Linked DNA regions of Lonchura striata. The protein of the gene in region 2 interacts with the protein of the main gene of each other region in a pairwise test. Links are inferred from orthologs where the notes say so. Each region holds a gene or a part of one and is shown on either strand. Other genes may lie near its edges.

Evidence for each region.
Region 1: the proteins of COPS5 (region 2) and protein S100-A12-like interact in a two-hybrid assay, tested with the Homo sapiens proteins (2 studies listed by BioGRID). The link is inferred for Lonchura striata from reciprocal best matches to the Homo sapiens genes COPS5 and S100A7.
Region 3: the proteins of COPS5 (region 2) and PPP1CC interact in a two-hybrid assay, tested with the Homo sapiens proteins (2 studies listed by BioGRID and IntAct). The link is inferred for Lonchura striata from reciprocal best matches to the Homo sapiens genes COPS5 and PPP1CC.

The regions. Positions count from the first base shown.
Region 1 is NC_134635.1:3,173,123-3,182,046, forward strand, and holds protein S100-A12-like, read left to right. Parts: upstream 1-5,877; coding exon 5,878-6,030; intron 6,031-6,444; coding exon 6,445-6,687; downstream 6,688-8,924. Other genes in the region: protein S100-A4-like, read left to right, coding at 1,872-2,009, 2,091-2,255.
Region 2 is NC_134603.1:34,858,515-34,869,693, reverse strand, and holds the start of COPS5 (COP9 signalosome complex subunit 5), read right to left. Parts: upstream 5,105-11,179; 5' UTR 5,072-5,104; coding exon 4,914-5,071; intron 4,811-4,913; coding exon 4,576-4,810; intron 2,168-4,575; coding exon 2,039-2,167; intron 1,574-2,038; coding exon 1,508-1,573; intron 101-1,507; coding exon 15-100; intron 1-14. Other genes in the region: CSPP1 (centrosome and spindle pole-associated protein 1), read left to right, coding at 10,654-10,755. UniProt on the Homo sapiens protein: Probable protease subunit of the COP9 signalosome complex (CSN), a complex involved in various cellular and developmental processes.
Region 3 is NC_134620.1:11,977,497-11,988,586, reverse strand, and holds the start of PPP1CC (serine/threonine-protein phosphatase PP1-gamma catalytic subunit), read right to left. Parts: upstream 4,738-11,090; 5' UTR 4,628-4,737; coding exon 4,573-4,627; intron 1-4,572. UniProt on the Homo sapiens protein: Protein phosphatase that associates with over 200 regulatory proteins to form highly specific holoenzymes which dephosphorylate hundreds of biological targets.

The DNA.
Region 1 (8,924 bases), on a different chromosome or scaffold from region 2:
AACCCCCCAGCTCCTCCCAAACCCCCCCAGGTCATCCCCAAACCCCCCCAGGTCATCCCCAAAACCCCCCAGCTCCTCCCAAAGCTCCCCAGATCCTCCCAAAGCCCCCAACCCCTCCCCAAACCCCCCAGCTCCTCTCAAAACCCCCTAGCTCCTCCCAAAACCCCCCAGGTCATCCCCAAACCCCCAGCTCCTCCCCAAAGCCCCCAGCTCCTTCCAAAGCCCCCCAGCTCCTCCCCAAAGCCCCCCAGCTCCTTCCCAAACCCCCCAGCTCCTCCCAACCCCCTCCAGCTCCCCCCAAAACCCCCCAGCTCCTTCCCAAACCCCCCAGCTCCTCCCAACCCCCTCCAGCTCCTCCCAAAACCCCCCAGCTCCTCCCAAAACCCCCCAGGTCATCCCCAAAGCCCCCAGCTCCTCCCCAAAACCCCCCAGCTCCTCCCAAAACCCCCCAGATCCTCCCAAAGCCCCCAACCCCTCCCCAAAGCCCCCAGCTCCTCCCAAAACCCCCCAGCTCCTCCCAAAACCCCCCAGATCCTCCCAAAGCCCCCAACCCCTCCCCAAAGCCCCCAGCTCCTCTCCAAACCCCCCAGCTCCTTCCGAAACCCCCCAGCTCCTCCCAAAACCCCCCAGCTCCTCCCAAAACCCCCCAGATCCTCCCAAAGCCCCCAACCCCTCCCCAAAGCCCCCAGCTCCTCCCAAAACCCCCCAGCTCCTCCCCAAAGCCCCCAACTTCTCCCCAAGCCCCCTCGGGTCCCTCCAGGAGCTCCAACCTCCCCCCTGCCCCTTCTCAGGCCCTTTATAAAGAAACCGCGGCGCTCCTGCCCCTGCCAGTGACTCTCCCAAATTCCCACTCGCTGATGGGGGGGGCGAGGCTCAGCCCCGGGGGTTGCTTCTGCCAAAATTTAAAGGCGCCCCCCGAGCTGGGGTTTGGGGCATTTCCCACCCCCGTGAGCGGCGGAGCAGCCGCAGCTTCGGCCCCGTTTTTGTCCAGCCCAGCCCAGGACGCTCGGGGGCTTTGCCGGGCTGGGCTGGGCCGGTTCCCGGTGCCCGGGCCACCGGAGCAGCCCCGTTACACAACGGGGCCCGGAGACGCGCCGCCCTCGCCGTTAGGAAACACAAATCGCTGCCAGGAGACTGGAAAAGAGGAAAAAAACCCCTCGGCACAACCCCCGGCTCGGCAGCAGCCCCAGAGCCGAGCCCCGGGATGCTGCCAGGGTGGCACCGGTGCCCACCGGGACATCCCCGATCCCGGGGGGCTCTCCCGGCCCGGGTGGTCCCCGGGCAGCCCCAGGGGCTCATTTTGCCCCTCCCAAGCCGAACCGGTTCCTCGGCAGGGCGGGCCGGGGGAGCTGCCGGGTTTTTTTTCCCTTTCTCCTCCTTTTTTCCTTTCTCCTCCTTGTTTCCTTACCCAGCCCTGGCCGGTCGCTGCCTCCCGGCCGGGTGTGGCCGGGCGGGGCTATAAATGCCAGGGCCCGAGGCTGGCTCCTCTTCCGCCCTGCCCGCTCTCCCGTGCCCGCCTGAGCTCTCGGTGAGTGCTTTCCCCCCTCTGCTCCCTCTCCAGATGTTCTCCAGATGTTGGCGAGGCGCGGCTGCCCCACCTGCGGCGCCCTGGCAGAGGTTCCTGCTGCAGGTGCCGAGCTGGGAATGTGGATTTCACGGGCGAGGGCTGGGAAAAGCTCCGGAACCCCTTCCCTGCCCCGTCCCCCCGTTCCGGGGCTGCCCAGCCCGGCCGGAGCCGGGCGGGGAGCGGCGCCTCCCGGGACGTGGCACATCCCGGGGCCTGGCACGGGCCGTTCCCCGGGACCGGCCGTGCCCGGGGACGCCGAACTCCTCTGTCCCCTCCTCGTGTCGCCAGGCTTGCCGCTGTCCCCATGGCGTGTCCCCTGGAGCAGGCGCTGGCCGTGGTGGTCGCCACCTTCCACAAGTACTCGGGCAACGAGGGCGACAAGTACAAGCTCAACAAGGCCGAGCTCAAGGAGCTGCTCACCAAGGAGCTGCCGAGCTTCAGCGTGAGTGCCGGGCCGCTGCGGGCTGCCAGGGGGTGCCAAGCCCGGGTTTAACCCCCCCTTTCCCCCCTGCTCCCCGGGCAGAAGCAGACCAGCGAGGAGAGTTTACAGAAGCTGATGAGCAGCCTGGACTGCAACAGCGACAGCGAGGTGGACTTCCAGGAGTACGTGACCTTCCTGGCCTGCATGGCCATGATGTGCAACGATTTCTTCCAGGACCTGCCCGACAAGATGCCGCGCAGGAAGTGAGGGCAGGGCCCGGCAGCGCCCCGGGACCCTCCCGATGTCCTCCCGATGCCATTTCAATAAATCTCTTTGTAAATGAAGCGTTCTGGTCTCAGGGTCTCTCTGCCCGGGCTGGGGGAAGCCGGGGGCGATGGAGGCTGTGCCTGGCTCTGCCCTTGGCTCTGCCCTTGCCCCTGGCTCTGTCCCTGTCCCTGTCCCTGTCTCTGTCCCTGCCCCTGTCCCTATCCCTGTCCCTGTCCCTGTCCCTGCCCCTGTTCCTGTCCCTGTCCCTCTATCCCTCTATCCCTGTCCCTGCCCCTGTCCCTCTCCTGTCCCTGCCCCTGCCCCTGGCTCTGCCCCTGTCCCTGTCCCTTTGTCCCTGTCCCTGTTCCTCTGTCCCTGTCCCTGTCCCTGTCCCTGTCCCTGTCCCTGTCCCTGTCCCTCTATCCCTCTATTCCTATCCCTGTCCCTCTGTCCCTCTATCCCCGTCCCTGTCCCTGCCCCTGTCCCTCTGTCCCTGTCCCTCTATCCCTCTATCCCTGTCCCTGCCCCTGTTCCTGTCCCTCTGTCCCTGTCCCTCTGTCCCTGCCCCTGTCCCTGTCCCTCTGTCCCTGTCCCTCTGTCCCTGTCCCTGGCTCTGCCCCTGTCCCTGTCCCTTTGTCCCTGTCCCTCTATCACTCTATCCCTGTCCCTGTCCCTCTGTCCCTGTCCCTCTGTCCCTGTCCCTGTCCCCCTGTCCCTGTCCCTGTCCCTGTCCCTGTCCCTGTCCCTGTCCCTCTGTCCCTGTATCCCCGTCCCTGTCCGGGGTGGACTCCTCGTTCCCGAGGCCTCCCGAACCTCCCCCGGGGCCCCGTGGGGCTGAGTCAGCCCTGCCCGGCCCCTCCTTCCCCGGAGCCGCGGACGTCCCGCAGGGATGCGGGCACGGCTCCGAGCTGGAACTGCGCCCGCCCGGCTCCGTCGCCCCGCGGCTGTCGCGATTGTCGCCTCCCCACCGGCCGCGTTCCTGCCGGGGTGCGGCTGTGCGGAGCAGCCGCTTCCCGGTGCTCCGGGCCCGGCCCCGCCGCTCCGTTCCTCCCCCGGCGCCCTTTCCCCTCGCCATGAAAAGCTTCGTCCTGCTCCGGGCTCCAGATGTGCCACACGCCCCTTCCAGATGTGGCTGTGCCCCCTCCATCACCTTCATGCTCAGCTCCTGGGCGCCACAAAGGGACAAAGAGGAGCGGGAACGGCCTCAGGCTGTGCCAGGGGAGCCTCGGGGTGGATATCTGGAAAATTCCTCCTGGAAAGGGCGGCCAGGCCTTGGAAGGCGCTGCCCAGGGAGGGTTGCAGTGGCCACCCCTGGAGGTGTCCGAGATCCTGGGATTTTAAGATTTGGGGAAAAAAATATCTCCATCCCTCCAGAGTCAGAGAACCCCCAGAGCACGGGGCTGCACCACCCCCACACCCACGGCAGGTGAGGGGGAACCCCAAAATCCTGGACCTCACCTGTGGCTGTCTGTAGGTGGAATGATGCTGCCCAAAGGGATCCACCCTGAATTCATCCCTCCTCGTGAGATCCACCCTGAATTCATCCCTCCTCGTAGAGATCCACCCCACACCCTCTCCCCTCACAGAGATCCACCCTGAATTCATGCCCACTGTCAGGGATTCATCCTAAATTCATCCCTCCTTGCAGAGATCCACCCCACACCCTCTCCCCTCACAGAGATCCACCCTGAATTCATGCCCACTGTCAGGGATTCATCCTAAATTCATCCCTCCTCGCAGAGATCCACCCTAAATTCATCCCTCCTCACAGAGATCCACCCCACACCCTCTCCCCTCACAGAGATCCACCCTGAATTCATCCCCACTGTCAGGGATTCACCCTAAATTCATCCCTCCTCACAGAGATCCACCCTAAATTCATCCCTCCTCGCAGAGATCCACCCCACACCCTCTCCCCTCACAGGGATCCACCCTGAATTCATGCCCACTGTCAGGGATTCATCCTAAATTCATCCCTCCTCGCAGAGATCCACCCTAAATTCATCCCTCCTCACAGAGATCCACCCCACACCCTCTCCCCTCACAGGGATCCACCCTGAATTCATCCCCACTGTCAGGGATTCACCCTAAATTCATCCCTCCTCGCAGAGATCCACCCCACACCCTCTCCCCTCACAGAGATCCACCCTGAATTCATCCCCACTGTCAGGGATTCACCCTAAATTCATCCTGCTCACAGGGATCCACCCTCTCCGCTCACAGGGATCCCCCTCCTGTCCCCATGGCACTCACCTGTCCTTGTCCCCCTCCCCAGGTGCCCCAGCCACACCCTCTGCCATCCCCAGGCCTGCCTGAACCCGTGTCCCTGTGGTGCCACCCATGTCCTTGTCATGTCACCCGTGTCCTTGTCGTGTCACCCGTGTCCCTCTGCCCAGCCCACGCGTGTCCCCTTCCCGTTGAGGATGCGCCCATCCCCGTCCCAAAACCCGTCCCTTTGTCTCCCTCTTTTGCAATTTTGGGCTTTTCTGGCACCGGTTCCCGGTGCTCCGGGATCACGAGGCTGGCGGGGAGATGTCTCACCGCCGTTGTCATCATCACTTCCCAAAAACCTTCATCACCAGCACGGGGCTCCTCACCAGCCCCCTCCAGGCACGTGGGGCTCTGCAGCTCATTCTGGCCACTGGGAGCACTGGGGGGCTACTGGGAGCACTGGGGGGCCACTGGGAGCACTGGGGGGCCACTGGGAGCACTGGGGGGCCCCAGGCCTGGGGGACAGCTGGGGGTGGGCACATTTGCCAATGCCCTGGGTTATCCTCGGGCAGCAATTCCCGCTGCCGGGAAGTGGCACCTCCCAAGAGAATTTTCAGGCTTTGAAAATTCTCTCCCAGTTCACCTCCCACGCAGCAGGGCTGTGCCCGGGGGTGACTCCCTGCATCCAGGGGGAATGTCCTCCTGCAGGGGTGGGATGTGCAGCCCACCCCTGGCACCTGGGAAGTGAATTGGGAGAGAATTTTCAAAACCTGATGAAATGAAATTGAAGTTTTTCAAATGTCTCTCAGTTGGCCCCGTCTGTGAGTCAGAAAAGGGATTAACCCGAGACCTGTCCAGCAGCCAAATTCACCAAAAATTGGTGACAAACTACATTCCCACAGGTAAAACCCACTGGAGACCCCCACCCAGAAAAGTTCCTCTTCAATCATCTACATCGAACACTTGGGGAACGTTCCAGAAAATCTCCTGCACCATCGCTGTAATTTTTGGTGTTTCCTTGTTTTGTCCGACGAGTTTGGGGCTTCCCCTCCCTCGATAACAGTTCCTGGATGGGGCGAGGAACCTGAAATCCTCACCTGGGCGTGCTGCGCTGCCTTGCACAATTCCCGGGGTGACTGCCCTGACGGGAGCCGAGGCTGGCACGGCTGGCAGCTCCGGGATGGTATAAAAGGTGCCATCCCCAGCTCAGCATCACCCGATCCTCCTGCTCCTCTCGTCCCTCTGCAGAGCCCAGACCTCCTCCGAAGGTGAGCAGCTCCTCCCAGGTGCTGCGGGACGAGCGGCCGGCGCCGGTCCTCGGGTTCCGTTTGGCCGCTCTGCGGAACGAGTCAAACATTTCACGCTTTGGGACACGGTTTGGATGTTTTGCTCTTTGTCCCTTCCCAGCAGGATGAAAACCAACCTGGAGCTGGCGCTGGAATGCGTCGTCAACGTCTACCACCGGTACGCGATGCGGCACCCCATGGATGACTACCTGAGCAAGAACGAGTTCTCCAAGCTGCTCAAGGAGACGGCCGAGCCTTTCCTGAAGAACACGGTGCCGGTGAGAGCCCGGAGCCGTGGGGTGGGGAAGGGGTTGGGGGATCCTCTCATTCCCAGGAATGTTGGGCACCTCCCGCTGGATTGGGGTGCTCATCCTTGGGCACTTCCAGGGATCCTTGGGGATGGGGGCGGGCCACAGAATTCACAGAGTCGCTGGGTTGGAAGAGACTTCAAGAGGATCGAGTCCAACCCAGCCCCAACAGCTCAACCAAACCCTGGCACCCAGTGCCACATCCAGGCTTCGTTTAAACTCCTCCAGGGGTGGCGACTCCCCCCGGCAGGCCACCCCAGAACTTTATCCTGGGAGCTTCCCAAAGCGAGGAAGGGTTTTTGGGGTCCAGCCCTGGCTGGGTGAGCCTCGTGCCACAGCTGGGGACGGGCAGGGTGACCCCGAGCTGCCCGTGCTCCCCCACAGCCCAACACCGGCACGGACAGCTACATCCAGCAGCTCTTCACCAAAGCCGACGCCAACCACGACGGGCGCCTCAAGTTCACCGAGTTCCTGACCACGCTGAGCCTCGTGGCCATCGATGCCCACAACAGGTCCCACAAGGACCCTGGTGGTGACCATGGCCACGGGCATGGGCACGACCACGGGCACGACCACGACCACGGGCACGGGCACGGGCACGGGCATGGGCCTGGCCACCGTCACTGAGACGGGAACATCGCCCACGGTGGCCGAGCCAGGGACTCTGCGTCCCCCCAGGAGCCTCAGCCCTTGCCTGTGACCAAACCTTTGTCACCTGCTTCTACTTCGTGGCATTGAAATAAAATCTCTTCCTTTGAGCACCAAACCCATCCGTGTGCCGTGTCCTGGGGAGGGGCTGAAACCCAGATTGAACGGGAAAAGCAACGGGAAGGGGAGAGTGGCACGGGGGGGCACTGGTCTGGGCAGAGAGTGGGGGTCAGGACAAGGTTTTGGGGGGTCCCAGTGGGCAGCACAGGCCGAGGGGGCTCCTGGAGGGTGTCAGATCCCAGTGTGGAGCTCCAGCAGGTGCCAGAGGTGAAACACAGCTGGGATGGGGGGGTCCTTCCTCAGGTCTCTGCCAACACGCAGCCCTGGAACTGGGGGTGCCACATCCTGGGGGTGCCACATCCTGGGGGTGCCACATCCTGGGTGTGTCACAGCCCAGGGACACCAGATCCCGAGGGTGCCACATCCTGGGGGTGTCACAGCCCAGGGACACCAGATCCCGAGGGTGCCACATCCTGGGGGTGTCACAGCCCAGGGACACCAGATCCCGAGGGTGCCACATCCTGGGTGTGTCACAGCCCAGGGACACCAGATCCTGAGGGTGCCACATCCTGGGGGTGCTGCATTCCTGGACTGCCACTTCCCAGGCGCCTGTGAGATGTTTTTGTGACCCCCCCAAAACAACCCAGCAGCCCCAGCAAAGAACGAGGCCGAGGGGCTCCGGGGGCTCCGTCCTGCGAGCTGCTCGGAGGAGCGGCCGCTCTGCAGAATGAGTCAAACATTTCATGGTTTGGGACACATCCCCCAGGTCACCACACACCCAAAAGCCACCGTGGGCTCCTGGGGGCTGAAGCAGGAGGGGAGAAGAGCTCCTGGACCCATCAGTGTGGGGGAACCCCCGGCTCAGGAGGCTCCAACATCAGCCAAACCAGGAGCCTGTCCCGGGTGAAACCAGGGGCATTTGGGTGGTTCCTCGGTGACACAGGGCAGCTCTGAACTTGGGGAGCCACCCTTGTCCCTCGGAGGAAATGTCACTCACTGCCAACCCCGTGTCACTCGGGCATTGCTGCCCTTGCAGGGATGGGCATCGCCAGCTGCTCCCCCACAGGTTTTAGGGGAAAAATGGGGAAATTTGGAACTGCACCAGAGCACCAGATGCTCTCCCTGCCAGCTGGGGGACGAGGATGCAGTTTGGGATGGGTGTCACTCCAGTTTGGGATCCCAGTTTGGTATGGGTGTCACTCCAGTTCAGGATTGCTGACACTCAAATTTGAGATCGATGATGCTGCAGTTTGGGGTGAGTGACATTCCAGTATGGGATCGCAATTTGGGATGGATCACCCTCCAGTTTGACATTGGTGACACTCCAATTTGGGATCCCATTTGGGGATGGGTGACACTCGAATTTGGGATCCTAACTGGGGATAGGTGACACTCCAATTTGGGATGGATGACACTCCAATTTGGGATCCTAACTGGGGATGGGTGACACTCCAATTTGGGATCCCATTTGGGGATGGGTGACACTCGAATTTGGGATCCCATTTGGGGATGGGTGACACTCCAATTTGGGATCCTAACTGGGGATGGGTGACACTCCAATTTGGGATTGGTAACAATGTAGTTTGGGATGGGTGATGCTCCAATTTGGGATCCCAGTTTGGGATGGGTGACACTCCAATTTGGGATGGGTGACACTCCAATTTGGGATGGGTGACACTCCAATTTAGGATCCCAATTGGGGATGGGTGACACTCCAGTTTGGGATTGGTAACAATGTAGTTTGGGATGGGTGATGCTCCAATTTGGGATCCCAGTTTGGGATGGGTGACACTCAATTTGAGATGGGTGACACTCCAATTTGGGATGGGTGACACTCCAATTTAGGATCCCAATTGGGGATGGGTGACACTCCAGTTTGGGATTGGTAACAATGTAGTTTGGGATGGGTGATGCTCCAATTTGGGATCCCAGTTTGGGATGGGTGACACTCCAATTTGGGATGGGTGACACTCCAATTTGGGATCCTTATTTGGGATGGCTGAGACTCCGCAAGGAGCGGGGCCGGGAAACAAAAGGAGCGATGCAGTGAGTCAGGGATACCGGAATAAATCTGTGCAATGCCCTGGGGATACAGGAGCATCCTCAAACAGGAACGGGCACCTCCAGTTCTCCTGGTCCTTCCCTGCTCCTCCTAC
Region 2 (11,179 bases):
TTTTTATTACTTACTGTTTACAGTGTACACCAAAGTCTTCTATTTTATTGAGTGGAATAGTCTGGTATTCAGAGGGACCTTCATCCGGAGGTTTATAGCCCTAAAATTTTAACAAAAGGCAAAACTTACACAGTAATTCTGAGACTTTTCAAAATGCCTAAACTTACAAAGCTTCTATTTTATGCAATTCTAGTGTTTTTTTTTTTTTTTTTTTTTTTTGGCTAGAGAAAATTACATTTCCTCTGGTAGTCTGAAATTTGAACTTTTCTTGGATCTCAGGTTTACATTTGGCTTTACTAGCTGTACTAGTCATTACATTTGTAGGTTTATCAAAAGCAAATCAGTGGTCATAGTTGAGTTTTTTCAAATGACAAGCTATGATTAAATAATTTCTTAGATCAAAGAAAGGGCACGCTTCTTCTTAGACAGTATTTCTCTACCTGTTATTGGAAATTTTGAGGGAAGATTTGAAAAAGAGGGAAGGAACATCCATGGATATGCCTTAGAGACACCTAAAACTTTCAATTACTTGTTTAGTCAAGATGGTGCCGTTCACAGCTACTGACTAAGCAAGAACTGCCTGCAGTCAACTGTGATAACTCCCTAAAAATATACTTCTCATGTGCATTTTCCAGATGTGATTTGGTTTTCAGGTACAGAATTCTTCTTCTTGTTCAATTTATGAAGTAATTTTGCTCACAGAAGTGAATGTTCTCCTGAATCACAAACTGTTCTAAGATAACTTAAGTTTTTGTCAACACAAAAATAATGCCTGGACCTCTCACAATCATTTATGTTAATTATAAAATTTAATTTTTATTAAGCAATTAATTTTGGTAATTGTTTTACTGGATGGCTGTCTGAAGTTCTTGATGAGTCATTCATAACTGGGTATTTAAAAGATACACCCGAACTTCACTGGACTGAAATTAAATAGCACAGCCAGAAATATATTAGAGGATGCATTTGGAGACCTACATCTCCAATAGTGATGTGATTTCTTAGTTTTAAGCCTAACCCATATTGTTTAATTAACTTTTTTGTACATTAGTTTGTGAAGATTCATAGTATTTATTTGAAAAAGTTAAGCAGGTAGTTTTGAACTTTCCTCTTCTAAAATGAAAAGCAAATTATGACATATTAAACATCCTATTAACATTTGGTTTTAGGTCCAAAAAAAATACCAGAGAAGAACTAACATAAAACAATTTTGATGCACACTACCTACAACTATATCCATTAAAAGACAGCTATAGGGAGCTACATAATTTTAGGACAGCTCCACAATCTGGACAGTGTAATTGATTTAACACTGCCAAAACTCTATGAAAACCAAACCTGAAGTCGACCTTTATAAACATAATCCAATATCCAAAGGCATGCAGTAACCAGCGTACAGGCACATCTTCCTTTGGAATGAACATTCAGTACAGCACAGCAGACCAAACTCAGACAATCATATAAAGACAGTTCAGTATTCACACACTAGATAATTTTAACTATTTACCTTAGGATATGTCCTAAAAGCACCAAGATTTACTTTTCCTGCAGATATTGTTCTTGTTGGATCAATCTGCAGAAATACAGGTAATACTCATTACATATATTTTATTACAGGCTTAAATTAAGTTTATAGCAATTTTATTTCAGTAATTCATGCAAACTGTATTAGTTCTGTCATAAACAGTACTTTTTCTTTTGGTATGAGACTCTCTAAAAAGATGTGAATATCAATAGCCTTCAGTGAATTATTTTTTCAAACTAATTTTCCTTATTTCCTAAATACTTAAAACCCCCTTATGCTTAAGAACTATACCATAACTGAAACAATGAAGTGAAAATGGTCTAGGCAAGCAACACTACTGGTTTGGCCAGTATTTGGCCAGCAAAGCAGGAGCAGCACCAGTTTAAAGTGTGGCTCCAACACCTCCATAATACAAAGTACACACTACTAAAATGCTAACAGACAGAAATCCAAAAATTATTCCCCTCAACACGATGTGCTGTGCAGGGTTATCACCCACCAGCCAGTACTTACAACCACTGCTACGAAGGGCTCCTGAAATTGCTGGTTAAGCATCTGGGTACTGACGTCGATCCCCGAGAGCCAGCAGCCGTAGCCGGGGTGACTGTGGTACCAGCCGATGGCATTTTCCAGGCGTCCGACCTAAGAAAGAGCAGGGAAGGGAAACAGCCCCAGCGTCCAGCTCCATTCCCAAAGCACCGCCTGCCCTCCAGCGGCACTTCCAGCACACTGCAAGGCGCGGCAGGATAAACGGGAATTTCCACGCGTGGGGAAATATTCCCTAGAAACCGTACAATGAGTGGCACTGGCATTCTCTCCTACAGCTGCTGCCACAGAACAAAGGCCTTCGAGGAGCCTGGGGCTCCTTCTTCAGTGACAGCTGGAGTACAGAAGAGGTTCCACACAGCTGGATGGTGAGCTGCAGCTGCTCAGCAGGGCTGAGAAATTTCTTAGCGATATAACACAAGTATATATAACCTCATATAACGTAGGGAACGTCAGTAGAGAATTAATTTTTTAGTATGGTAACATATCTCACAGGCACATACTATGAGATCAGTGGTAGGTTTAAAAAATTACTTCAAAGGTATGCTTTCAAACACCAGAAATGACAGAAATTATTGCCTGGAGACCGGTTTAAAAGCCAAATTATGAGTTTTGGACAACTTTTTCTCAGATAAAACCTCAAAATAGGAGTTTCCAAATAATACAGCTGGCTATCTCTAAAAATACTGGAAGAGAAAGGAGCAAAGCCAAAAAAACCGAGGAGAATAAACACCCATTGAACCTCATTTTTGTAATCCTCTCTAAGGAACTGTTTACTGGCTGCTCTGGTAATGAGACAAAACACATGAATTGCCTACTGTATTTTTTAACTGGTGAAGAATATTTGTATTTTCTTTACAGCTTGCATGACAAACACCAACAAAACACTAAAGAACGTGTGTTATTTTTCAAAGCCAAATGATACATCTAAACTACATTAAGGCCAGATCCTGTCCATGGAAAAGCAACTAACTGGAACAGCAGCATCTATAAAGCATTTCTATAGGAGGATGCATATTAACTAGCACCTAATGATAAAAAGAAATATTCCAGGAACAAGTGCTTGCCAAAATCAAATATGAAACAGCCAGCATGAAAGCTCTGCCACAGCACCAGGAAAGTAGAGTTCTTTTATTTGCACACAAGTTCATTTTCAAAATTGTGAAACCAACTACAGACAAAACTGAACAACATAAACAATGGGGAAATAAACATTTCCTATCACATAAGAACTCCTACAGAAACCTGGACTGTTTTAAACATAAGACAAGCTGTTTATAATTTTAAGCTATATACTTACCACTTTGAAATTCAGTATTTCTACCTAAGAATGGGATTCTATGAATATATCTTTATTTAAAGATAGCATGACTGTATCTTTAGGCAAAGACATCTCTTCAAGTTACCTACTTTTTGCAACAAGAGTTCTAGAACATAATTATCTCTGCATTATGTTTACTGTTTGCTGATGTTATGATTCAGCCTAATGCACATCCATTTCCATATCTTCAATTCTATTTATGGCTATGAACATAAGTCCAACTCTCCAAAAGAACCCAAATACTCCTCTGTTATATCCACTTAGTATGTAAAGGGCTTCTAATTTTAGCTGGTTTAAAAATCAATGCGTCAACTGGGTATCAAAACTCTTTGAGCTTGGAGAGTTAAAGTTATTTCAACTCTTATTTCTAGCATAGAATTGCCCTGTATTGGAAGAAGCACATCAGGAAGTGCTCTGATGTTCTGTGCTGGTTTACATATCAGCCACAGAGCACAGTTATACTTCTGTTATCTTTCTGCACATGAGAACTGCACTGTATAGTCAGCTTTAATATGACATGGCTCTTTGAATAGAAAGTGACAAAGACGAAAAACAGACAAGCAAGTTCATCTAAATTTCCAAATGATAAATATGAATAATTAATTTTCACTGAAACTTACTTATTCCTTCACTGACATTTTCTTCACAAACGTCTTTTTTAATGGAATAGAGCAGCATACCATACACTAAGATCTCAGAAGGTAAGAATGAATGTCATAATTCTGATCTATAAATACTAAGTAGTCCAACACACACATATATTTAATTCTGCATACTGTTTTTAGAAAGAAGTATCGGTTGTTTTAGAAACACACTATGTCGCACAACCAGCAGCCATAAGAACACTTCCTCAGCAATGAAAGTAATTTTCAAAGGGAAGGAGAATGCACTACTTTCCAACGAATCATTAAATTGGAAAAGACCTCCAAGATCATCGTGTCCAACCTCTGATGACCTACTGTAAGTCAGAGAAATATGTATGTGAAAATGTTTACAGGCCCCTGCGTTCCGTGCTGCTGACAGTTCTCACTGCCATGTTTGAGGAGAGACAGGACAACCGGGCAGGCACTTCCTCTCTGGGGGAGGGAGGAAGCCTGGAACGCCCCAGGTATGTTCCTGAAGCTCACAAGAGGCACAGGATCTCCACGGGGGGCGGTCAGAACCCCCTGCCACCTGTCCTTACCTGCTTGGCGTTCTCGATGTAGGCAGCCATGTACTCGTAGGCGGCGGCCTGCGCGTTGACGCGGGTCTCGGTGCCCTCCACGGGCAGGGCGAAGCTGTCCATGATGATCATCGTCTCCCCGTCCACCTTGCCCAGCATGAGCCCCATCACCTCCAGATTGCCGCCGGACCTGGCGTGCATCACCATCTTCAGCAGCGCCAGCGCAGAGATCTTGCAGTACTTGAAGTAATGGTGGCTGCAACAAGGCAGAGGCCGCGGAAGGGAAGGCAGAGCCATCCCGTCAGGCCGCTCCTCACCGCCCAAACCGCCCGCCCGCCCTGCCGCCCCCTGCCACTCACTCCTTGGTCCAGGGCTTGGCCGCCAGGATCTCCTGCTGCTGCTTGCGGTCGTACTTGTAGATCTCGTCGATGCTCTGCGCCTCCTGCATGTTGTTCGCCAGCTCCCACGTCTTCTGCGCCATCCCGCTCCCGGAGGCGCCGCTGCCCGCCGCCGCCATGGCCCGGCCGCGCTCCCGGCCGCGCACCGCCGCCCCGGGCCGCCGGCGGAACCAAGCGCGGGCCGGGGGCACCTCGCAGGGTGGTACGGTCCGCGCAGGCCCGGCCGCGCGGCGCTGCGCCCCCTGCGGCCGCGCCCGGCTCTGCACGCGGCCGCGCCCGGCGCGCTCGCCCCGTGAACCGGCACCGCAAAAACGCGACCCCGGCCGGGCGGAGGCCTTTCTATTATATCCATTTATTTATTGACTTGTGCTTCTTAAATTACTGTGACCAGTTCGGGGCCACTCAGTACGAGAGAGACACGAACATCTGGAGAGGGTCCAGCGGAGAGTAAACAAAGATGTTTAAGGGACGGGAGCGTCTCTTTCGCGAGGAAAGGCTGAGGGATCTGGGCCTGTTCAGCCTCGAGACGACCGAGAAGCGGCATTATCAATGTATATAAGTGTCTAAAGTGGAAGACGTCAAGAGGATGCAGCCGCGCTCTGCTGGGAGGTGTCAAGCAATAGGACAAGAGGCAAGAAAACTGTTGCATAGGAAATTCGCCCTGAAGATGAGGAAGAACTGCTTTCCTGTGCAGGTGACCGACCACTGGAACAGATTGCCCAGAAAGGTTGTGGAGTGTCCCTCGCTGGAGAGACTCAGGAACGGTGTGGATGCAATCCTGCGCCACGCGCTGTAGGGTGGCCCTGCCGGAGCGGGGAGGTTGGACCAGGTGACCCGCTGCGCTCCTTCGTACGCCGCCCCAGCCCGGGGAGCCCGCCCGTGCCGCCTCCCCTCCGCTCCTTTCCCCGCCCGGGAGGAGCGGCAGCCGGGTCGCGCCGCCCTCCGGGGCAGCGGGGGGCGCTGCCGGCGCCGCCCGCCGCGTTCCGGCCGGCAGGAACGCGCGGGGCGCGGACGGAGCCGTGGCTGCCGGTACCGGTGAGCGGGCGGGGGCGGCGCGGCGCCCGGGGACTCTGCTCGCAGCCCCGCCGGGGGCTTCCGTCGCCAGCATCGCTCACAGCCCGGAGCGGGCGGCGGCGGGCGCGAAGGGCGTTCGCTGGGCGGCGGGACGGGGCGGGGGCGCACCGCTGGGTCTGGGGGTCCCCGTGGGGGCTCCCGGCGGGGCTCGGCTCGGCTCGGCTCGGCCGGGCTGGTCCCGGCCCTCCGGTGGGGCCGCTTGTGCGGCCGTTGCCTGACAACGGCGCCGCCATCCGGAAAGGGGCCGAGCCCCGAGTGTCGCATCTCCGCCCCGCAGCTGCTCCCCGGCGCGTAGAAGCCTCCGGGAGTGCCCCAGAGGTGCTGCCGAGGACGGAGGTGGGGAGGCGAGCGCTGCAGGCCGGGGTAGAGGCGCTTGCCCGAGCTGTCGCTCTCGCAGAAATAAACCTGATCTCCTGGGTCTGAAAGTTTTTCGAAATTAGTGTATTTTTGGATCAAATTACGTACTCTAAAAAATAGATAAGCCCTGTAGTGGAGGGAAAGTAACTCGCCAAACTTGTTGCTTCGTTGTTCAGAGGATAGACTGCCTTCTCAGTTGCGAAAAAATCGCATTGCTTTAGTCAAGAGTTTATTATTTATCAACGGCCAGACCCTTGAATCTGTGCTTTTCCGCAATGAATTTTAAAGAAAAGTACAGGGAGCGCGTCTCTGGCAGCAGTAGCTTATTCTAAGTGCCATTCACAAGGGTACAGAAGCAGTCAGTATTAATTCCTCAGGAAGTTCGGGTTAAACTTTTAACAGTGTTTCTTAGTGACACAATTAGTGGCTGTATAGCTTGTAAGTACAATTACTAAACTTGGCATATAGTCGCTCTTTTAAAGCATTTCCCTCCTTGCCACCTGTGCTGCAGTTCACGTGGATAAGAAATTGCCTTTTTGCCAGTGCTCCTGCTGATATTTCAATATTATGGTGGCATAGAAGAGATGAAATCTACTTGCACGTGCTGATTTTAAATTTTGTGTGTTTTCCTGAACAATTAGGAGGGGAAAGGAAAGATTAAAATGGGATACAGTAAACATTGCTTTAGGTGATAAAGTCGTTACAAAATGCATGGTAAATATAGTGCATACAATACATATGGACATAGATGTTTTAGATACCTTGAATAGAAAGACATACATGGTTAACTCTCTTTGGGCATAGATCCAATAAAAATCTCCTGTTCAAACTTGACTTAGTGTTCTTGAATATCTGCATGCTTTCTATTGCTTGGTATGTTTGCTTAAGTTGAAGTCTACCTAGGTGACTCTAATTACTCAGAGTTGCTTTTGTGCAAACTCTGAATAAGGAAAAGAGGCTATGAAAATCTAAAATCTTCTTGAAAGAAAAAGTATGTAAAAATGTTTTTATGGGACATTTTCAGACAGTACTTGAATATAAAAGAGCAGTATGATTAATGGAATTTGACTTCGTATAATGCATTATTTTGGGAATACAAATTATCTTTCTTTAGCAAGAGCTAAAGAAAGGCTGATAGCTACATCCTATCAAAAATTTGTTAGAAATACTTTTACAAAATACTCTCTTTTCCAGAAAGCTAGAGAAATATGCTTACACCTCATAATTTTGAGGGCATAGGGATACATTTTTAAGTGTTTACAGCATATTCTGACTTTCCTTTCATGCTCTGTACATGCCCATGGAGTGATGTGTCCCAGCTTGGTTTTGAATCTGCTAGTTTAACGAGTAATTGCAAGGATCTAGACATGCACAAAAAGAATTAAAATGTATTGCTAAACTGAAAATAAATGATTTTGCTCTGAATTGGTGCTATAGTGTCAGGCTGTGCCTCAGTGTGTTTGTGCAGTCATGGGAAGTCAGTATGAAGTTGACATTTCCCTGTGAGTTCGGTGCTGTCGTTTCCAAGATAGTTTACTGCACTCCTGAGGGCTGTGGTAGCCCTTGTCTCATATAGAAATGTGTTCTTTCTTTATTTTTGTTGTGATTAGTCATGATCTCTTCACATGGTACAGTAGATGATAAAACTGACTAATATTCAGTAGGGTATTTGCTTGCATGCTGGTATATTTTTGCAACTTAACAGTGTATGTGTCACATTGAAGCTTGTCACCCTTTTGCTTAGACTAACTTAAGAAATTTTTCTTTTTTGCTATAATGTATTATTTTTGCTTATCTCATAGAGTTTGCATTCATGAGTATTTTAAGAAGATCAACACAGGTAGAAGGAAGTTAAGACATAAAATGTCTAGATATTTATGTGAAGAATTTGGTAAGAATTTTCCAGGCAATTGTGCTGTATTAAAGGTAGCTGAATCAACAGTGCTGTAGCATTAGTCAGCTTAGTATTCTCCAAGGCCTGGAGTTGCCAGCTTTCTTCACACCAGTCGAATTCCCTGTGTAGTTTAACTGTAACTGTTTTGTCTTTGGCTTTTAACTTACTATATTGCTCTTTTGAGCAATATGATAGGAGTGCAGAATGCTGCAGTATTAATTGTACTCCTCATGCTAGTTAGAAAATACACTAAAAGACTCCTTTCCTTATGCCAGCTCTCAGAGTAAGTTTGGTACCATTCCCATACAGTGATTTGGAAACAGTGCTGGAGTTTATAAATGCTGTTGTAAATAGAGATAGGAAATACAGATGTTACTGTCAGTGAGCTTTTGGAAAGGCTTCTCACAGTGCCTCCTACATGTGGTTATTTTCCTCTTGATGACTGTGTAGCATTGGGTAGGTGGTGAAACCACCTTCTTTTAGTATGACAAGTTGTTTTACCCCTTCAGAACATTTTATCATTATTGTTATGTAACCTAATAGGCTAAATAAAATTTACCATGCCTAGGAACTTATCCTCTTTCAGATTTCTTTTATCCTTTATCAGTGTGCAAAACTAATGAGATTAAAGATTTAGGACAAATCAGATGGGGGAGATTTATTTTTGGCATTGATTGTCCTGTATTATCACTAGGAATTGTAAATGGGCTGGCCTAGTTCTGCCTCCTTTGTAAAAATACTATAATTTTATATTATGAATAAAAAAGATAAAAAGTTCAAAGGATTACATTCTAAGGAATACATCAAACAAATGTATTCTGTAAATTAAATTAGCATGCACTTACTTCACTTTATCATAGAGAATTTGTGCATTTTCTTATTTCCATTTTGCTTCTACTGAGAATTTATCTCAGTTTCTCTGGACACATTATTTTTATGTTTACCTATGTGCTACCTTATTATCTTTGAGCTGGTGGTTTGTTTTTTTTTTGTTGCTGTTTTTAAGTTCATCAGTCCTCTTCCTGAAACTGCTTTCTAATATAGTTTTATCACTGGCCTCTTGTTTACTTCATACTTCACTTCTAAAGATAGTGAATTAGCCTGAAAAAAACCTGCCATGTTAATTAAGATAGTGGATGTGATGGGATTTTTCAGGAACCTGCATAAGCAATCCTTTTGCTTAAGCTGCATGGAGTGTTTTGAGGTTCATAACTTTCTTAGTTTTGTGCTTCTTTTAAGTGTGGAATCTAAGTTGAGTTTTTTCTTTTTTTTTTTTTTTTTTGCCAGTAAGCTTGGTATTGTAAAACTCCTTCTCCAGTGGAGTTAGTGAAAATGCTGGGGAGAGATTAGGATGAGTAGGCTTGTATGCAGTCATTCTTGCTGGTTTGTCTTTCTTTTTCTATAAGTAGTTGGTATGCTTTGCAGTATTTTTAGTTCTGATACGACTAGTCTAACTCAACTTCAGTACAATTCCATTGACATGAACTTGATTGACTTCAGTTTTTATTATGAGGTTATTGAAAGCAGCAATATACACTAAATTCCGCAAATCAGGTGCTAAAATTTCTGCTCGAAGGACTTCCAGTTTAATATGCAAGGTACACAACTAGTGGAAGAGAGGTAATTAGCTCTTCCTCACTACATGTTTTCTTACAGATCAGTGTCTAATTCTCAGTCAGTGCTTCCTCATATCCCTGATTTTGGGATTATTTTAGACCTATAGCTATTCTTATTGCGTCTGCTATTTTAGTGGTACAGAAAGTAGGTACTGTTGGCTCCAACCCCAGAAGCACTATGCTTGTATTTTGTGAGCTTTTTTTATTTTTTTAGTTTATGTTTTGTTTTGAGGAAGCTTGATTATTTTTAAGACTTCTCATGATTGTAAGTTAAGCACAGAATTAATTGTGTGATTTGGTCCTTATTTTAGGCTGTACAGGTATTTTGAACTTTTTGTACTTTTTTTCTAATGATTCCTTCATCCTGTTTACTTTTATGTGTTTTCTAATTTTGATTTTGTAGTTCATAAGGAGTAAGCTTGTGCTAATGTGTAGTGAAGAGTCACTGGTAGACTTGCAGTTAAAACAAGCAACTCCCAAACACTTCAACCATGTTAGGAAAAAAGATTAGATAAGTATCTCCAGTCTTGTAATCTGGAATCTTTTAATTTTCTCTCTGGTGAAGCATCAAGTAGTCTCCTCCATGGGTGGGTTTTGCAAGTCAGTTGTTTTGTTGACCCAGCAAATATCTTAAGGCTTGTGGTTCTGCGGGAGAAATTTAATTATTTTTAACTGCTGTCTTAAGCAAGAGCAATTGTGCTTTAAATTTTTGAGGTTCTAATGTAAATGCCACGTTCTGTGTCTTTTCTGTAACCTAGAAATGATGGCGGATGATTTAGAAAAATTTATTGAGGATCAGAAGGCCAAGTTAGCACAAGATAAGGCAGAACTTGAAAATGATCCACCTTACATGGAAATGAGGGTAAGAGTATTAAAAAGCTTTCCTGAATTTAAATGCTTCTGTTGCCAAAGTCTTGATTGAAGCTTGTCTTTACTGTGCTCTTAAAACTGTATTTGTTGTTAAAGAATATATTGAAGATCTATCTATTCCAAGTAATTTCCAACTTGAGTACTTCATATCTTTTTGTAGATGTTTAAAAACCTGTTTGCCACTAGGCATACACAGTAAGATTTGTGTTTTGCAAGTGAGAAGAGTTTTGTACATGGTTTTTATTACTCCTTCACCCCTCCTCAGGGAAGCTGATTAGCAGGGATCTGATCTCTACCCATTCCAGAGCTTGGATGTTGTAGTGGGAATGGAAGGTATAAATAGCCTCAAAATTTCTGTTCCATAAAAGGCAAATGACGAAAAAAATCTGTTCTTATCACAGTTTTCCTATTAGTAA
Region 3 (11,090 bases), on a different chromosome or scaffold from region 2:
AGTCAGTTTTGCACCATAGGCACAAAGGGAATAAATAACTTGAAAGTGGTTGATGTAAAAAAGGTTTTACTTTACTGCAGGCACTACCAGCTTTGATCAGATCTCTTCAAATTCGAAACTGAAATGGAAAAGCATCTCCTCAGTGCACAAGGCTCTGAAAAGTTCTCATCTGCTTTCTAGTATGTCCAAAGATCACAGCAGTGTTATCAAATGGAAGGTTCTGCACGATTACAAGTTTTTCACCTTGTAACGTATTTCCACACTGCAGAAAGGTGAGGAGTAACAGCTACTCACACTGCTCACAAACAGAGGGAACAAATTCCTCCACTTCTCTGACTGGGCAACAGGCAAAGAATTTCACAGACTTATTTGAATCCATGGCATTGATAAGAATCTAATTCGTAATTCTTTAGAATTATGAGTTTCTATTTCCTATTCATAGCAACTGCTGCACCACAGCAGGAAACAATTAACATCAAGCTACACAAACTAGGGAGAATGATATGGTTTGAAATCAAAAAGTGTTGCTTGTCTATGAGAAACTTCATCACAGCATCCCAACTCATTCATGAGTAAATGTGACATTTCAGATTAACATCTCTGAGAATCACTCTTACCCCAGTATATGCAGCTAAAGGACAAGCAACCCTGAAGACCCAATTAATGCTGTACTTAGCAGAAAGGTGAAAAAAATTTATAGGACTGCATTTGTGAGAAAACATCTTCTCTGTGGTGAGCAAAATCTTATCCACTTTAATAAGTAGATGATAATCTTTCCCCATTTAAAGCAAATTAAGAGAGAATATCTCCTTGACATCTCTACAACAGGCTTTACTGGGAATAGAAATCTGTGGGTGTATAAACAGAAATGTTTAAGATTCAAGAGTATTTTTGCAGATTTTAGAGGACTAGCCAGGATTTCAGTTTTCAGAATGGCTACCACCATTGTAGCCTCATGTGGCTTTATCCAAAGTAGCCTCCATTCATTATTCAATTCTCCCTTAACAGAGCCTGCAGAGGATGCAGCACAGGAGAGATCTGCAGAAACACGTTCCAACTTGGGTGATTTAGGTATGCTGAAATTGGTATTTTACACATTATTTATTGTTACCATGGTAAGAATAATACTCTTCAACCCTGTTTTCTAAATAGGTGACTGTGAGCTCCAAAGCAGACCCTGCTTATCTGCAGAAGCTGCCAGCACACGAGATGAAGGAAATGGATAAGGGGCTCAAGTTATAGGAAGCCCATCTGACATGACACAGAAAGGAAGCCACGCTCACACTCCGGGAGTCTCAGGATTTGTCACTCATTCTTCACTGAGGCAAGCAGGAATTCTGCCATTTCCTGGAACCCTTCCCAAGACCACACAGGTGCCATTGATTTTTTTATCTTACAAGGAGTTTTTTAGCATCTTCTTGTCTGCTGGTATTTTTAATTTTTGACTCAGCACACACAGCTGCAGTTGCTGCCTTCAGTACCCCCTGCTAGAAGGGGCAAAATTTGCTCTCATATTTGACCCCTCTTAATCCTCAGGAAGGTGAATTAGTTCCATCAATATCTGAGCCTTTATCTAATATCAAGGATACTTAAAAACATTTCAATACTCAGTGCAGGATACTGTTACTTACTACACTTTCCAAGTCTTATACTTGTGAATATTACTGTTACCAGACCTGGCAAAGTCAGACAAGCTGCACTCAGGAAATTGCTCCTAGCAGGACACAACCCTCATCAGTAAAGAACGGAAAAAAATACAAATTCGGTTACAGAAAAATAAAAATAATAATAATAAAAAAACACACCAGTATTTTCAATGTTTTCCCTGAATGGCTTTCCCAGGTTGAGAACAATGCTACTGAAAAATGGTGGTGGGTTTTTTTTTTTTTTTTGGTGACATCTCAATGCCAAATGGTTCTGTACTATAAACAATTGAAGCAAGGAAGACTCTTCAAATATTTACCTTAGAATGAGAAGCTGAAGTATATATTTCCAGGCCTTTTAAAGAAAAAGATAATAATTTCACCTAAATAGCCTAATGTGGGTGGGAGAACATCCCTATTTGAGGGAAAAGTAGGAATAATGTCAGTTGAGCAGAGGAGTCAGGATAGAAAGCAACTAAAATCCTTCACAAATACATTATTAATACCCTTTATTAAGGACAAAAGCAAGAATAATTTATTATTCACCCTTCACTCTACCTCAACCATTAGACTCAATTCACTGCTTCTTCTAACAGGGCAATGCTAAGGACCATGATAAAACAAATACCTAACTGTACCTGCCCACTGATTTCCAGTATTTCATTAGTGCTGGGGTTTGTTACCCTTAGAAAGGGCTAAACCCCCTGCTCATACTCTTTAAATTTTAGTACCAAAATCACCTAAAGTTAGCTGCTATAAAAATGTGTAAGTATTTAAAGTTTAAAGAGAGCTATAATGAAATACCAAATAGCTCTAAAATTACAGCTTGCACAAGGATTTGGGCAATTCAGTTTGTGAGCTGATTATTAAAGCAGATTTTGCAGTGTTTTTATGCCTGAGTATGATTTTAATCTGTGTGTAGCCTTGTCTAAAGGGGTATTGACACAGAGCTCACGGGCACACCACACTTTGTGTAACTAACATTATGCACTTGTTCTACCAGAACTGCACTGAAAACCAATAATTTCTTTGATCTAAATCTAAAATGCAGTGTGTGCTGAAATGCAGCCATGTTTTAGGAAAAAGAAGTATAAAAATGACACTCACAAAGGTCAGTCATTACTCTCTGTCTGGCAAAGACATTTAGAACAGACATTTAATAATCAACAAATAAAGCACTAGCACAGGTTACTAACACCAGTAATTGTTTTAAATATTGAAAGACAATCATTGCCTCAAGGCATCCAAAATCCCAGCTGCTGTATTAATAAAGGGAAAAAAATTAATTTCAGTTCTGGCAGCTGATGCAACCTCAGGTAACATCTGCAATTGCACGAAGCACCTCTTAAAATATGTCAGTAAACCTTTTGAAGCCTGATTCATGAATTCTTATCTGCTCCAACCATCTAATGTTGATATAAACTGAGCAAGAGCAGAACACATTGACATAGTACGTCTTACTACCTTTTGAAACTTTAAACAGAGAAATCACTTGCATTTCTTTCTAGGAAAGGTCTAAGCCATGCTTTTAAAAATTAAAGTTCACACTTTGGAAATATTGCATTAATTACAGTAAGTGAAATCAGTAAGAACTATAACTAATGAGTGCAATTCAACTGAGCATGTATTAATATGTCACCAAACATATGACATACGAGACCTGACATTTACAAGTTGTATTACTGGATTTTCAGGAAAATCCTGGTCTAACTTTATGAAGGGAAGTCTTTAAATAATTGAAACCAGGGCGGTTTAAATTGGTAACAGGCAAAACCCAAACCGGATCAGAGGAAAAACCCCATTTACTTTTACTTATTCAGTAATCCCATAATTCATCTACAGGATTTTTTAACTCCAATTTTCTAGAGTAGAATTTCTGTTCCTCTGCCTGACCTTTTGCTATCTAAGCATTACACAAGCAAAATCCTGTAAGAAGGAAAAGTGTGCAAGAAAAGACATTTCTTCATCATTTTTCTCAGCACCATCTCAGCTGACTGTGTGCCAAATGGTAAAAAGTTAAATCCCTGACCAAGCTTTTCAAGAGTAAGTCCAGATGAGATGCTGCCCTGGCACACGTGAAGTGAGGCTGGATCAGCATAGCTTCTTTCTTTGAATAATTATGCTTTTCCTTGATGCCTGGAAGAGAATTTGTCATTGGCAGCTTCTCAGTCTTTTGCCCCAAAATCAGTCGATCCCAGCCCAGTGCTGATCCCTGCAAGCGAAGGGATGATGCTGGAGACACCCCCTGCAACTTCCAGGTTTTCCCTTGATTTACAAACTCCCAGGCAACTCTTTTCATCCCAAAGCACCAACAATAGCAGACAATAAGCCCTTTTTCAGACTGTCTGAAACACCAAACCCCAACCCTCTATTCACACCTAAAATCCCACCATATGTTACGAATTAAGAGCCAAAATCCTGTGGCAGCTTTAATGCAAGCAGCTAATCAAAGCTAAAGCCAGCATACACTGAAACCCACGGCAGTCTCCTCCCGACTTGCTGAAAAGCTGCCTCAACACTCTTTAAACAAGCCGAGTCTTATTTCCAGAGCCCCGCCACTACCCAGCCATGCACTGATCCCATGTGTATGCGTGAAAGGCAAGAGAACACCCCAGGCTTTTTCAAAGCCCTTCCTACGAAATACTACTAGATTAAGCATCCCCTCATTCCACCACAGGACTAGATTAAGCATCCCCTTAGAACCGCAAGGGACGAGAAGGGGGCAGCCGGCTGGTCCCAGCATTGCACCGGGGGATCAAAAGGCAGAAACGCCTCGGAAACCCACACGGGCTGAGGGGAAAGTTGGGGCGAGCCAGGCGGGGAGGCGGCGACCCCAGGCAGACAAAGCGCCTCTCGCCCCTCCATTTTAGTGCCCCCTCAGACCTGCCGGGCGCATCGCCCCCCCAACCGCGCCGTCCCCGACCCTCACCCTCCAGCAGCCGTTGGATGATGCTGTCGATGTTGAGCTTGTCTATATCCGCCATCGCCTCTCAGCGGCCGGGCGGAGCCCTCCCCGCCGCTCCGCTCGCGGCTTGGCCGGCCCGACTGCGCTCCTCGTTCTGTCTCGTTTTTGCCCTTTTCCTGCTCTGCGCCTCGCCTCGCTCCCTCCGCTCCCCCCCCCGCCCCCTCAGCACAGAGCCAGCGCTGAACAAAATGGCCGCCGTCCCCTCAGCGGGCTCGCCTGGCGCACGGATACGAACGAGCGCGACGCGGCCCGTCGGAAACCCTTCATAGGCCGGGCGGGAAGAGCGGGCGCGGTGATGCGGCCCGGTTCGCGGGATCCTGCCGCTCCCGGGACGGGAAGTAGTGCGGCGGTGCCGCCTCCCGGTGTCGCGACAGAATCAGTGGTGGCGGTCGCAGGGTGCCAGGATCCATTAGGATGGAAAAGAGCTGCGAGATCGTCGAGTCCAGCCTATAACCGAACAGCATTATGTCACCTAGACCATGTCACCGAGGAGTGTAACATTCAGTCCTTCCCTGAGGGACAGGGACTCTGCCACGTCCCTGTGCAGCCCGTTCCAATGTCTGATCACCTTTTTCTGTGGAGAAAGGTCTGCACCTTGTGGCGTTCTTGCAGACTGGGATCTGCAGAGGACATCAAGGAGCCACCATGGCCCTCACATCATCCCCTCACTGCCCCTCACACCCACATGTGGGGGAGATGGTGGCTTCAGGTGGGATTTTGGGGCACTTCAGGGTTGGGGGAGCACAGCCGTGATGTCCTTCACCTCACACTGAGCCACCTCCACCTCACGGGTTGAGGCAAGGTGTCCTGAGCAGCTCCTCAGCTCCTGAGCACTTTCAGACACGTGGCTCTGCACCTGCAAATCCTTCAAGAAACAAACGTACAGCACTTTCAAGTCCTTGCAGATGAAGGAATGAAGCTCCTCGTTCAAAAGCATCTCGCTGTTTATTTCACACTTTTATTATTTTATTCTATATGTAGCTACAGCTTGGTTACAAGCACTTAAATGAGGTTTAAACTGGATGGTGTTTGTCCAGGAGACAGGCTGTGCGAGCCTTCCCCACCGTTCAGTCTGTACCTCGAGTTGAATATTGTTTTATTGCTTTATTTACTCCTACTTTAATTTGCGGGGCTGGCTGTGTCGAGCTCTTTCCTCGTCCCCTCCCTTCCCTGGGTGGATTGCTCCCACTATCCTGTCGGGTTCCTCCTTGCCAGCAGTTATACAATTTTCATTGCAGCTCATTGCCGTGGTGGGGCCGGAGCAGAGTTCGGATTCGTGCGGGTGATAAAGCAAAGGACTTGCAGTCTCAGCACACCTCAGGTCTGCGGGAGGAAGGAGATAAGAGGATGCAGAGTCTACCTGAAACACAGGCTCAGGCCCCTTGCAAGAGCAGCCTCAACACTCCACTTCCCCGAGCGAACACTTATCGTATGGAGCACGCCCAAGCTGATATGCTAATCTTAGTCACGCTGGTGTAAACCCAAAGTAACCCCATGGAAAACAATAGAGTTACTTCAGATTTGCTTCAACGTGACAGCCTTTGCAGATTTACATCTATTTTTGTGCTGCACCTTCTCGGGGAAGGGCCCCTCCGGCTCTTGCACCGAATACTTTCTTTCTCTTTCAAATCCTTCCTAATTCTGCAGGGCGAGTTGTTCTCTTGGACTTAGCTGAACTATTTAACAAGGAAAATTGGTCCTGTGTTTCCAGAGGAACCTTCCTGGCCTTGTTTTCATTTCTGTAAATATCTTCATCTCATCTCACCCTTCAGCTCTTATCTCCTCTCCAGGGACAAGTTCTCTGGGGATCTGAGCACCTTTAGTGGGTGTTGAGTACTTTTCACTCCTGTTAACTCTCTGGGAAATGGGATGGAGGGGAAGAGTTTAGCAACCCAGGTCAACCCAGACAACGTACTTGGGAATTCACCTGGAAACTCCATACTTCTGAAAGGACAGAACTGGCCCTTCAAAACAAGGTCAGGGCAAAGAATCTGTCTCACTTGCTGAACCATATCAGGCAAGGTCCAGAGCACTGATAATTCTTGTAAAAAGAGGTGTAGCCAGGAGGAAAGAAGAGAAATGACAGATAAAGGTGAATCTGTAAAGGCCTCGTCATCACCTTTATAACCAACTCGCCTTGTTCCAGCTCTAAATCTCAACAGCAGCTGCCAATGCTTGGTGTCCTGTTCGGAGCAGGCTGGATTTTTGCACAGGGTCTTTCTCATTATCATAAAAAAAAAGGACCCTTCCTTATCAGTAAACTCCATGGAGAGCCAGAGTTATATTAAAATGCCACTACAAAATTATCTTTTTAATAAGGTAGCTTTTCTCTGCAGGAAATAACCAGCCTCGCCCCACACCCTGATTAGAAAAGGGACCCAACCAAGGCATTATAAGTATCATGAAGCTGTTTTGTTCTCTGGTGTTGCTCACAACAATGATTTATTTCTAGAGAAGGAACAGATTTATTTCCAGAGAGGGAACAGCCAGGGAAATCCTTTTGTCCTTAAATTTTGCACATGGGCTTGAAGCACTCCATAATTTTGAAGCTCACGCTTCATATACCAACAACTCCACCCCTTCTTTCAATTTGTCTACAATTCTTTTCCTACTTTCTTACTAGCAAAATACATGGTGATTAACAATTTGTTCAGTACAAATCATTCACAGCTCATGGCTCTGAGACCTCTGGGTCTTTTCCTCCTTTCCCCCCTTTAAATTCCACAAATCACCACTTTGGTCTCATTCCTTGGAAACCTCTGTGTAAAACACCTTTCCCCAGTGATTTGTCCTTGCCCTCTCTTGCAAGTGTTGCTTTATTATTGTATTGTTGCTCATAATCTGGTTAAGTTTAAGAATATATAAATTATACATATAATATCCACCTACATATAGAGAAAAATAAGATTTCAGTATTGTTCTGTACATATATATAAATATATACTGTGAGTACAATATAATACATATTTACACCATGTACACAAACATACATGTGTATATATGTACAAAAAATAATTACATTTCCCTGATTTATCCCTGTTTGTAGGCGGATCCTGAGAAATGTGAAGCACCCACACTTTTAGATTACATATTTGCTAAGCCCATGAAATTCAGTGTGTTTGTGTACATTTCAAACAAAGATCTACACGGGCTCTCCAAACACTGCTAAAACAAGAATGGGTGACTTGTAGGTCAGGTGTTATTTTTCCTAACTCGCTCCACAGCCAGGATTCCAATGTTTTCATAACTCCTACTGTTTGCACCCAGCTTGCCTGGCGTTACAATTGAGATAAAGCCTCATGCACACTCTTGCTTTTCATTCCTAAAATATTTTGCTAACCCCCAAATTTCAGCAGGGTTTTGAGGGTGGGTGGCGCTGATTTGTCAGACAAAAGAGAAGCAGCCGGAGCGAGCTGTGAGGCTGATCTGGAGATGGAAGGGTCTGTGTCCTGCTGCAAGGGGAGCTGATGACGCACAGGCAGGAGTTTTCTTAGTGTCGTGTTTTATTTACAAAACGCGCGGTGCCACGATCTCCCTCCAGCAACAAAACTTGTGGATCCTGCGCGTTCCTGTGCGGAACCCGGCGAGGAGCTCGGGGCTGGCAGCTGCTCCTGAGCTTCCAGCACAGCCTTGGGGCTCTCCAAGGACTCAAACCTTGTGCAGAAATGGAATGAGACCTCATTCCCAGGCAGCCAGCAGCAGGATTCCTGCTGGAGACTTCCTTACACTCTTCTCAAGGGTGTACCCTGCATAACAGAGCCAGGCCTTGATTTCCACCAAGCTGATGGTTTCCCAATCTTAACAACCGGTCTCCATCTGAAACCATCCCCCAAAAGCTGTCAACATCAATGGCAAGTCCATCTCAAGCTTGTTAAAATCCCATTTTTTGGATACCAAAGTTAAAAAAATTCAGCTCAGAAAATTTTGAGACAGGTAATTTTGACATGGGAGAAATATGACTTGCCATTCCTCTCCTCCTAGTGGGTTTTTAAAAATTTATTTATTAGAAGTTGTTGTACTTCATGGGTTTCTGGTGAAAGGTACTTTCAAATGGAAAAATATTCTATTGGTGAATTTTGGAAGGTTCATGCTCACAAAAATACTATCAATAAAATCCTTCTCATTTAAAAATATCATAAGTCCCTTTTTTTTTCCCAATATAGCAGTGACCACTATAGGATTTTTCCTGCTGCAGCACTTTGGATTAGGAAAACCCAGCATATTCCATACTCCTGATGAATTTCTCAGTTGAATCTGACTTTTAAAGCTCTGAGATGAGGCACAAGAGCCATTTTGATGTGTCCTGTCCATGGCTGAGCATCCTTGGGCAAAGCATGGCCATCATCTGCTCTGCTGCTTGGAGAAAGAGGAGAAAGAGCTCCAAAGGAGGCTTTGTCCTGCTTTAAGTGGAGAGCAGCCGTGGCGGATCAGTTGACGCCGCTTTGGCACCGAGAGGAGCCCTGTCTTCCCCTCTTCCTCAGGAATCCCTTTGCTCGGCCAAAGGGAGTTGCATAACCAGCTGGAAAGATCTTGTGGGCTTCCACAGGGGCTCAGCTGAGCTGTTCTCAGAGGGGAAAAGGAAAAAACACAGACAGCAGCCAGTGCTGAACACCCAGCAAAGGGGGTTTTTGCCCCTTTTCCGGCTAGTTTGTGGTGGGGTGAGCACAACTTCCCCTTCGCAGCGTCAGCAACTCTCAGCACAGCTCACTTGGATGTAGTGGCACAGGGGGATGTGAGCAGACCATGCAAAACAAGTAGAAGCCACTCAAAGCCCCACTTTGCTGCTCCATGTGGGACATTTCTGTGTGGCTGCAGCCTCACGTGGCTCGAAGGCAGCGCATCGTGGATGTTCCTCATTGCGCCGGCCAGAGACGCACGTTTGCAGCCTGGGACACGGCCTCTGATCTCAGCCCAGCTTCATGGCTGAGCTGCTTCTCTAATTAAGACCCATGAAAAAGCAGCACCAGGAGGGCTGTCAGGGGAGCAGGAAAGTGGAAATAGGATGAAAGTCGGGTGATTTGCTATTGGTCAAACAGCTGCTGTGCCTCTGCCAGTGGGAGACACACCGCTGAACACGAGATGCAGGAGCAAGAAAGAGACTTTCCATGCACCCCAGAGGTCCTTAATTCATTCATTCATGCCTTTTCCCATGGAAATGCAGGCGAAATAAGTGGCAAATCCCATCTGCAGGTGCCTGGAGGCTGATGCATCAAAGCCTTCCCAGGGACAGGTAACAAGTGTCCAGAGGGCAGTTGCTTTGCTGATCCAGATTTTGTTTTCCCTTACACTCCTGAAATTCCAGAACAATCCCATTGGCAGCTCTTGGACACCTGGGATTTCTGCTCATATGCAGCATTTGGAAACATGATTGATTGTAGAGGTATCTGCCAGGTATTCTTATTTCTTTGTTTCTATTCTCACCTCCTCCTTGCTGCTCTCTGCTCGCCAGCCTGGCAGATTTTCAGGAGCTGGGCTGCTCTTACGTAACACTGCGCCAAGATTGGTGTGAAAGGATTTGGAGGGCTCTGTGGCTGGAATCACCTTTGATCCCTGGATTCTCTTCTGGTATGTCCATGCATTTTGGGCACACCTCTTTGAGCTGCTGGGGCATCTCTGCCCTGGCATCCCCTTGGAACCCATCCTCTGCCACCAGCATCGCTCAGATTCTGGTGTCCAGGCCATTCTGTGAGTGCTGCCTTGGTCACAGCTGTCTTGTGGTGGCAGATGTGGTCCCATGCCAGCTCTCCTGGGCACACAGGAGCAGCTTCTCCCAGGTCTCCAAGAGAGCGTGACCAGAATTCAAGCCTGTGTAATTAGCAGTAATTAGCCAATTGAGGGAGCGTGTATAAAACAGATTAAACTCACTGAAATCCCCTGCTGAAGTTGAGCTGAGCTGTGTTCTTGGCTCAAAAACCTGCACCCCCATCCAGAGGATGCCTTAAGCATCTTGAGGAAACCCTCTTTCTCCTCTTTCTCCTGGGAGGGTCTTTCCTGCAGGCCATGGGCAGCTTCATCCAAGCAAACATCTGGAACGCCGTGGACATCGGGGCTTAGCCCAGCAGCAGAGAGGGAAAACTTGGGATGGACCCAAGGGAAAGGTGGGCAAGGCTCTTCGTGGCACCCACCACGGTGCTTTGGGTGCTGCCTTACAGCAAACACAGCCCTGGGAGCTGCAGTCCCATCTCAGGGCTGCAGCAGAGGCAGATCCAAAGGGATGAAGCCAGGCTCTCTCCCACGCCGCTCTCCAGCCTGGTGCCTTTGCTGATGAATCACAAGTGTTTTGGTCTGGATGTGGTGATAAATCCAAGTGCTGCAAATGACAGAGTGCACAATGGTGGGGTTTAGGCAATAAATCAGCTTTTTACGTCAATGCCTCCTGCACATGTAGCTGTGAGGTGGCAGGTGAGGCAGGAGAGTCGGGAACATCAATCTGGGGGAAAAGAGAGCCTTGGAAACTCGCCCCTTTTGTTCCAATCTCCGCT